2 linked regions of the Arabidopsis thaliana genome follow. The protein of the gene in region 2 binds, or shares a complex with, the protein of the main gene of each other region. Each region holds a gene or a part of one and is shown on either strand. Other genes may lie near its edges.

The links. Proteins that work in one complex are often made in the same cells at the same time.
Region 1: TIM50 (region 2) and TIM17-1 share a complex: the UniProt entries of both Arabidopsis thaliana proteins name them as parts of the TIM17:23 complex.

What each region holds. Positions count from the first base shown.
Region 1 is NC_003070.9:7,041,547-7,045,342, reverse strand, and holds TIM17-1 (translocase inner membrane subunit 17-1), read right to left. Parts: upstream 1,716-3,796; 5' UTR 1,607-1,715; coding exon 950-1,606; 3' UTR 751-949; downstream 1-750. Other genes in the region: DRT112 (Cupredoxin superfamily protein), read left to right, coding at 2,070-2,573. UniProt on the Arabidopsis thaliana protein: Essential component of the TIM17:23 complex, a complex that mediates the translocation of transit peptide-containing proteins across the mitochondrial inner membrane. Links the inner and outer membranes.
Region 2 is NC_003070.9:20,901,026-20,906,496, forward strand, and holds TIM50 (Haloacid dehalogenase-like hydrolase (HAD) superfamily protein), read left to right. Parts: upstream 1-2,040; 5' UTR 2,041-2,137; coding exon 2,138-2,447; intron 2,448-2,684; coding exon 2,685-2,782; intron 2,783-2,961; coding exon 2,962-2,998; intron 2,999-3,085; coding exon 3,086-3,147; intron 3,148-3,236; coding exon 3,237-3,350; intron 3,351-3,518; coding exon 3,519-3,623; intron 3,624-3,713; coding exon 3,714-3,812; intron 3,813-3,904; coding exon 3,905-4,061; intron 4,062-4,156; coding exon 4,157-4,259; intron 4,260-4,349; coding exon 4,350-4,395; 3' UTR 4,396-4,828; downstream 4,829-5,471. Other genes in the region: AT1G55880 (Pyridoxal-5'-phosphate-dependent enzyme family protein), read right to left, coding at 1-115; AT1G55890 (Tetratricopeptide repeat (TPR)-like superfamily protein), read left to right, coding at 339-1,535; ZIP11 (zinc transporter 11 precursor), read left to right, coding at 5,136-5,471. UniProt on the Arabidopsis thaliana protein: Essential component of the TIM17:23 complex, a complex that mediates the translocation of transit peptide-containing proteins across the mitochondrial inner membrane.

The DNA.
Region 1 (3,796 bases), about 14 Mb from region 2:
GGTCTGCAAAGGATTCACATGTCCATATGGAAGAGGTAGACTTTGGTGTGCATACCCTTACTTCTTCCGGACTCGATATCCAATTTCCCGAGGTAATTCTATAGAACAATCTGTAACACATCAAGTTGATAGTATATTCAAATCAAACACTTTTTTTGGTATACATGCATTACTTCTGAAAACATTTTCCTGTGAGATGATGAGTGATTATACGGACAGAGAAGAAGTAACACCAATGAAGGAGCTTGCTGAGAGATTTACTATGTATGATCCATTTGAAACTGACAAAGAAGATTCAGAAGACATATTTGTAAGAGAATGTAACAATGTTGATCTACCCTTTATATAATCCACACCTGCATTAATCTCTTTTCTTTTGTACTCTTTCGTTGGATTCAGGGGAAAACAAGACGCTATGAAATAACGAGTACAATAGCATTGGCGGTGAAACGCAATAAGGAAGTCATGTTTCATGAGAGGTTTCGGGAGAATGGTAAATGGAACCCCAATGACTTCACTTTCAACATCGCCTAGTTACAATATGAACTTTTCTGAGTAGTATTGTTGGTACTCTAATATATCTTCCACAACACTATATCTCAAATGTCTAAGCACATATAGTAGTTGTTGGTTCACTTTATATTTTCCATCTATTCAATTCCATAGTATCTCTTTCACTTTATAATCCATGTATGCTTCTCAATTCCAGTGAGAGAACTTGTTAATTTTAAAACTTATACGAGCAACATTATCACAAGAAGTTAACCTTCACGCTAATCATGTTGTAACAATTGGTAAATTATACATAAAACCAGACGGTATTATATCAATCCAAATTGACAATAGTCTCTAATTCATAATATTATTATATAAAACTTATTGCAGAATATATAATTCTAGTTACTAAGCTCTTAACATTAAAAGTAAAATTCAGACCTCAATAATTCCATCACTTAAACTCATAAGTAGGCACAGGAGGAGCATCAAAGCTCTCCAAAATGTGAGTTCTGCTCTCTGAATGATGATCCTCTGTTTCTTTCTTCTTCTTAAACAAACTCCCAAACCAAGATACCGAACCAGAAGAAGAAGAAGAAGTCTCCGGTACCGGTACGGACTGACCAGATATCTGACCCATACCATATGGTAAAGAAGTAGCTGCATGATCCTCCATGAACTGCTCGTTATGCGCAGTACTCTGAACTTTGTTTAACATGATACCAACTCCTTCTATCATAGCCAACAACACACCTCCGACTAAAGCCGATCTAGCAGACGCGCCTAAGCCTTGACGCAACGAGAGGAATCCTCCAGTGGCTGCACCAGATAAGATCGAGTTCCATGGATCTTCCTTTTGTCTTGCGTACACCAACGCACAATCGAAGGTTGAGTAAAGACCACCCCACACGGAGAAGCTTCCTCCGCTTCTCGGCCCGCTCATTCTCAAAGCTTGAACGCCGCCGGAGAGACGAGCTCCGCCGGGAGAGTTGTAGATTCCTCTTATGAGGTGATACGCTGATCCACCAACAGCACCCATCGCAAACGCACCTCCGACATCATCTAGGATCCGATCCGGACATGGCTCTCTCGATGATTCTGGAGTTCCCATTGATTTTCGATTTTGATCTACAAGTAACTTTTTAGGGTATAAGAAAAGAGCCCTTGAAAACGAAACTAAGAATGAGGAAAAATTACAAAAATGGAAAAATATCGTGTTGTTCACGTTACTTGACCATGGTCAAAGCCCATTAAGGCCCATTTGTAAACACGCTTTATCACAAAATACTAATATAAAAACGCCACGTCATTCAAGAACCTTATCTTTATTTAAAACGTGGACAAACATCCTCCACCTCATAATGCCATGTCACGACACAGTATCTAAAATCAACCAATCACAACGCGTCTTTATAGATAACTTGTTTTTTTATGGAGTTTGCTTTTAGAGCCATCCATTGTCCTATCTCACTTTCTCTCTTTCACCACATAAAAACTCATAAACTCGATCGAACCAAAGCTAAACGAAAAACTTAAAACCCAAATCTTATCACTACTCTAAAAGAATCTTCATCATGGCCTCAGTAACCTCAGCCACCGTTGCAATCCCATCTTTCACCGGCCTTAAAGCCTCAACCATCAAATCATCCGCCACCGTCAGAATCCAAACTGCTGCTGTTGCATCACCGAAGCTTACAGTGAAGTCATCTCTAAAGAACTTCGGAGTCGCGGCCGTAGCGGCTGCAGCTTCAATTGCTTTGGCCGGAAACGCCATGGCAATAGAAGTTCTCTTGGGAGGAGGGGATGGGTCGTTAGCTTTTATTCCCAACGACTTCTCTATAGCTAAAGGAGAGAAGATTGTGTTCAAGAACAACGCTGGATACCCACACAATGTTGTCTTCGATGAAGACGAGATCCCAAGTGGCGTCGACGTGGCCAAGATCTCGATGGACGAGCAAGATCTACTCAACGGTGCGGGAGAGACGTACGAGGTTGCTTTGACCGAGCCAGGGACTTACAGCTTCTACTGTGCGCCACATCAGGGTGCTGGTATGGTCGGTAAAGTCACCGTTAACTAAAATGTGTGTGTGAGTAAGTGAGGGAGTCTCGGACTCAATTAGAGGCTCTTCTTTCACATTCTTACATTATTACATAAAGTGTTTTGTAATTCTAAAGAGTGTTGAATCGAATGGACCGTGATTGTTGTTGTACTGTGACTGGTTCCATAAATGGTTTTTCTTGGTTTATATATGTAGTCTTATGTCTCGCCCTGAAGTTATGATTAATTTAAGTAGGAAAGTGAACTGTTTGAATAAGCGCTTTTCATAGAGGTATTTAGTTAGATGGTCTAATTTGAAGAAAATTAGATATATGACTATGGTGCTAAATAGTAGTTGGTAAATAATTATTTTTGTTGCAGATTGACCAAATTATCTCAATGCACTCTTTGGGCTATTGTGTATTTTTAAAAATGTGGCTGTAGATAAAATAGTAAATTATTGGATGAACATGTAATCTCGCATCATGAATAAAAAAGTGCATGATAGCATGTTTTTTTTTTGATTAAACAGTGTTGTTATAACATATTCTTGTTTAAAAGACGCACAAAGCCATTAGTTATTTATGGACAAATTTGTAATCGACCAATTACTTGAAAAATAGAAGGTTTGTTAGTGCAAATTCCCTATTTTGGATTAAATCGAGAGTTGTGGAGCCAGTTGATCTACCATCACAATTTCAAAAATAATCTAAATTACATCCTTACTAAACTAGCTAAGACATGTCACAAAATGTAATAATGTGTATAAATGCAGCATATCAACTTTGCTCATTTCGTCAGAAGGGTTTTAGGCTTTTAGCTATTAGTCTTCCAGCTATCTCATTGATCACTAGTTTATGGTGTCGGAGTCCATCCATTTACTAAAACAATGCATTTCACTACGAAGCTAATGGGTAAATGCCTAGTGAGGTTCAAAAAGTTAAACATCAAAAATCTAGTGGCCCGTTATAAACGATCATAGTGATTGGCCCAGTAAGCCCACTACCACAAGCATTAAGTTTTCAAGGGAAATATACAGATAGTAAAATAATTGGTCTAAAGAAAATTGGAAAATTTAACCCGTGCCAACAGAAGTATCAATTAAGTTGAGACATCAGAGATACAAAAGTTAAATAAAAAAGGTGAATCAAAGAGCATCTTTGAGGTGTTATGGTCTGATTAGAAGCCAAACAAGAAAGCAACAAAAGATGAAACGAGTGAGTCAGTCATATGAGTCGACTTTTTTTGTAAACAATTCGAAAG
Region 2 (5,471 bases):
TCAACTTCTCCTTCCTCTTCTTCTTCTCGGAGAGACGGAAAAAGAAGCTGTAAGAAGTAAGCATCAACAACGCCGCTGCTGCAACAACAGCGCCAGTCATATTAACAGGCGCCATTGAAGCTCAAGCTCGCCTTCTCCCGTAATCAAACCGGTGAAGTAAAATTAGGTCGTCGGCAAAACAACACTATTTCTATTATTTGTTATTCTAGCCCCCAATATTTCCTTTAGTTAAAAATAAGGCACTAACATTTTTTAAATTATCAGATGCGTCCTTCATTTGATTTGTTCTTAAACTCGTCTCCTGAAGGCTGAAACCCTTTGCTCTCACTCCCAAAACGATGTCGTCTCTATCTCGCGTTCTCCGTGGCACCTTCAACACTTGCCCGATCCGCCGTTTTTCCTCCGCCGCCACCGTAGTCTCCGAACCCACCGCAGTCACTGCCGCAATCTCGCCTCCTCAAAAGTCACTAACCAGTCTCGTGAATGGCGAACGAAACCCCAAACGGATCGTGGAGAAATTCAAGAAGGCATGTGAGTCGGAGCGGTTCCGGACCAACATAGCCGTGTACGATAGAACCGTGCGCCGTCTCGTAGCCGCAAAGAGATTACACTATGTCGAAGAGATTTTGGAGGAGCAGAAGAAGTACCGCGACATGTCAAAAGAGGGATTCGCGGCGAGGATCATTTCTCTGTATGGAAAAGCCGGCATGTTTGAAAATGCACAGAAGGTGTTCGAAGAAATGCCAAACAGAGACTGCAAGAGGTCAGTGTTGTCCTTCAATGCCTTGCTTAGTGCATATAGACTTTCCAAGAAATTCGATGTGGTTGAAGAACTTTTCAATGAGTTACCTGGAAAGTTATCAATCAAACCAGATATTGTATCTTACAATACTTTGATTAAGGCATTGTGTGAGAAGGATTCTTTACCTGAAGCTGTTGCATTGCTTGATGAGATTGAGAACAAGGGACTAAAACCTGATATAGTTACATTCAACACACTTTTACTGTCTTCGTATCTAAAGGGACAGTTTGAGCTAGGGGAAGAGATATGGGCTAAAATGGTGGAGAAGAATGTAGCAATAGACATCAGGACTTACAATGCTAGGCTGCTTGGATTAGCCAATGAGGCGAAATCGAAAGAGCTAGTAAATCTCTTTGGAGAACTTAAGGCTAGTGGGCTCAAACCTGATGTTTTCAGTTTCAATGCTATGATTAGAGGATCTATCAACGAAGGAAAAATGGACGAAGCTGAAGCGTGGTACAAAGAAATTGTGAAGCATGGTTATCGTCCTGATAAAGCTACCTTTGCTTTATTGCTTCCTGCTATGTGTAAAGCAGGTGACTTTGAGTCTGCGATTGAGCTCTTCAAGGAGACATTCAGTAAGCGGTATCTTGTCGGTCAAACAACGTTGCAGCAGTTAGTTGATGAATTGGTGAAAGGGTCTAAGAGAGAAGAAGCTGAGGAGATTGTGAAGATTGCAAAGACCAATGATTTCTTAAAGTTGAAGCTAAATTTGCCGTCCCAGGAAGAGTAAGTCATTTGCTACTCTCTCACTAAGTGTCTCGTTGAATTGTGTCTGAGCAGCTTAAGCTATATGTATTTGCTGGTGTTGCTTTGTGGCTTTTCTACTTCTCTAAACTTTCCTCTGTGGAAGTAAGACTTGTTTCTTTCTATGTAGTTTCGCTTATTTCACTGGTGCAAAAAACAGCATGTAGTCGAGGTTTAGGCAGAAGAAACCCTACAAATTTAATAAATTTTGGTTATTTGTTTTCTCTTTTTGACACGAATGAATTTATTATTTTTGTTGGAAAAATATTTTCATTTTATTTGGTAAATAAATAGTGTAAAATAACTTCATTAATTAGTTATTAAAAGCCCGAAATGCAAAAATAAAATAAAATAGATTCTCTTCTTGGTAAACAAGTAAAAAAAACAGCAAAAAAAATAGAAAAATATCGGAGTAGAAATAAACCGACTACCAAACAGTGGATAAGAGAGTTAAAACGAGCCCATAAAACCTGTTTCCAAACAGTCCATCTGTTAATTTTCCTTTTCTCCGATCAATTCCAAAACCCTACTTCAACCCTGCGATTCATTCATCATTCACAGAGTTTGAAGAAAACGCCGAAATCGGAAATGGCGTCTATTGTTCTTCGATCTCGCCTGTTGCCAAGATTAGCAAAGCTCAGATCTCGTAATCTGAGATGTTTCTCTGCGGAAGCATCTTCGACGAATTCTACATCTAGGTATTCGGGAGTCACCTCTACCCAGTCGATGTTTTCTGATTTTCCACCGCCAAATCAGCCGCCACCTCCTCCTCCTCCTCAAGTGGAAGCTGCTGCCGCGGCTGCGACGGGAAAGGAGAGGAAAGGTCTTAAGTATCTTGGTTACGCACTCCTCTGGGCACTCACTGGTGCTACCGCTGCTACTGGTTACGCAAGTTTTGGTATGTACTTGCATTCATGAATTATCTTTTTTCCCTCTCGTAGATTTCTAGTACAAAGTTGTTTTTGCTGTGAAATGCGAGTAAAAATGTGTTATGGTTTGCTTAATCGTGGCATTGCATTACATTTTCACATATCAGTCTTTTGAATTCAGTGTTCTTCACTTGGTAGAACTGTGTCTTTCTTCGTTATGTTGACTCTTTTTAGTTCTGATTATACTTGTTTGTTTCGTTATGCAGCTTACACGATAGATGAAGTGAATGAAAAGACTAAGGCGTTCCGAGAATCAGCTACGAAGACACCAGTTATTAAATCTTCTGGCATTGATGTGATTGATGTGAGTAAGCTTGGTAGCCTTGAGTCGCTGTCAAATTAATGTTGATCATAACTTGCTTCTGTATTAGTTGACTTTCTTTAGTCTCTGGCTTTCAAATGCGTGCTGCCATGTTTCTCTGCTTCAAGGTATTGTTTATAAGCTTCTCTGAATTAATACCCTTTATACTCATCTTTCTGCAGAAATATCAGACTAAGTTGTACTCTGCTGCAATGACAGGTATAGTTCTTGCGCCTCTGTCATCATAACTAATAGTATGTCTTTAATTAAGCATAGCATGAGTTGGTTTGCTTGAATTTTGATCAGGTTCTGCTAGAGCCATTGATAAGTATTTAGAGCTTAGGGAAATTGTGGAGGAACAAGTGAAAGTACGTCCTTTCACCGAGACACAACTTTTCTTTTTCTTGCATCTTCTTTTTTCTTCTAGAATTCTTATTTTTTGTCTGGTTCCTTATAGGGCTTCACGGAACCTCTCTCGGAAAAGCTTCTTCCGGATCTGCACCCCGCAGAACAGCATGTCTTCACTCTAGTTCTTGATTTAAATGAGACACTGCTTTACACTGACTGGAAGGTAACATTTCATTTATTTACTGATCATCAAAATACTTGCATCATAGATGTGAATATGTGACTCAGAGTATCTATGTTATGAAACAAAGCAGTTCTGGTGAACTACTTTGTTTTCTTAAGTAGTGCTGTATTTAACTTTTCCTGCCTTTTCATTTACAAAAATGTCTAGCGGGAAAGAGGGTGGAGGACATTCAAAAGACCAGGTGTCGATGCATTCTTGGAGCATCTTGGGAAATTCTATGAGATTGTCGTGTATTCTGACCAGATGGAGATGGTAAAGTCCCAATTGGTTTTTCTTTTTTCTCCTTTTTTGCTTGTAATATCATAGTAATGCGACTACTAACGCTTGTTTCATTACTTGTAGTATGTACTCCCGGTCTGTGAGAAATTAGACCCAAATGGCTACATACGTTATAAGCTAGCAAGAGGCGCTACTAAATATGAAAATGGAAAGCACTATAGGGTACGTAAGCAGCTAGCTTATCTTGTCAAAGCATACTTTCTGACTTGCCCGAGTAACTGTTTCTCAACTAACTATTAAAATTCCTGCTGCAGGATCTGTCAAAGCTGAACAGAGATCCGAAGAAGATTCTGTTTGTTAGCGCAAATGCCTTTGAATCAACCCTTCAGCCAGAAAATAGCGTGCCAATCAAGCCTTACAAACTAGAAGCTGATGACACAGCCCTAGTTGACCTGATACCCTTCCTTGAATGTAAGTATTGGTGAACTGAGGGATAAGTTCTGTTCCAGTCCGTGAACTGCCTGTATCAATTTTGTTTGGTTGATCTTCCTGTTTGGGTTATGCAGATGTTGCACGTAACAGTCCAGCAGACATCAGACCGGTTCTGGCCTCTTTTGAGAGAAAAGATATTGCCAAAGAGTTCATTGACAGGTCCATAGAGTATCAAAAGTGAGTCGATCAGAGCTTTTTTTTTACCCTATCGTATCAATGCAAAATCTGTTGGTAGTGTCCCACTAAGAGTGTCATATCTCTATGCAGGCGAAAGCAAGGACAACTGGGACAAGGTCGATTCTGGAGGCGTTAAAGGATCTAAGATTTATGTATAGAGCGAGAGACAATTATATCATCATTGATGGTGCACACCATAAAATAGGAACATGAGCTACCGTTCTTCGCTATGGATTTATTAGGTAAAATCCGAATTAAAATACTGTCTTTGTCATCAAAGAGTTTTTATGTTACCCAATTTTCCTCGTCTTTCTCTCTGCTTTACATAGAAAATTTCTATGAGAACGAAAAAGAAATTATCATATGGAAGGTTCATTTTTCGTTGACTAACAAATACCGTTTTTTTTCTCTGATTTATTTTTACTTGGTTTGACAAATGATTTATGATTATGAACTTTGAGAAATTATTGGTTGAAACGTCAATTTGTATGTATTGCTAAAAAAAAGAGTAAATTACCTTTTCTAGTACGCTTAATATTTATCTGTCTGTTTCAATGCGTGTCTTAAGGTGCAATATCAGGTTTACAATTAGGTAAATCAATTACAGATTTTTCTTGTTAATCTGAACCAAATAATTGTACTTTTTCCTAAATTTGAATTCATAAAGAGGGTCCAAGTCTAACAACCACTTACAAAGCTCCTTCACCCGTAATCCTTTTCAATGTGTCGTAATCAACCAACCAAAAACCATAAATTTATTGTAGTACAAAACAAAACTCCATGACTTTAAAGTACGACTCTTAAACACCACTTATATATTACACGACATATCGCTTAACTTCGAATTTCAGACACACAAACCCACTGAACATTCAAATGTCTCGTTCTCTTGTCTTCTTCTTCCTCTTTCTTGTCTTGGTCGTCCCTTGTCTCTCCCATGGAACCGGAGGAGACCACGACGACGATGAGGCTTCGCACGTTAAGAGTTCCGATCTCAAATCCAAATCCTTAATCTCCGTCAAGATCGCATGTCTTGTCATCATCTTTGTCCTCACGTTCATAAGCGGTGTATCTCCTTATTTCTTGAAATGGAGCCAAGGGTTTTTGGTTCTTGGTACACAATTCGCCGGAGGCGTGTTTCTTGCAACCGCCTTGATGCATTTCTTGTCGGACGCTGATGAGACGTTTCGTGGTTTGTTGACGGCGGAAGGA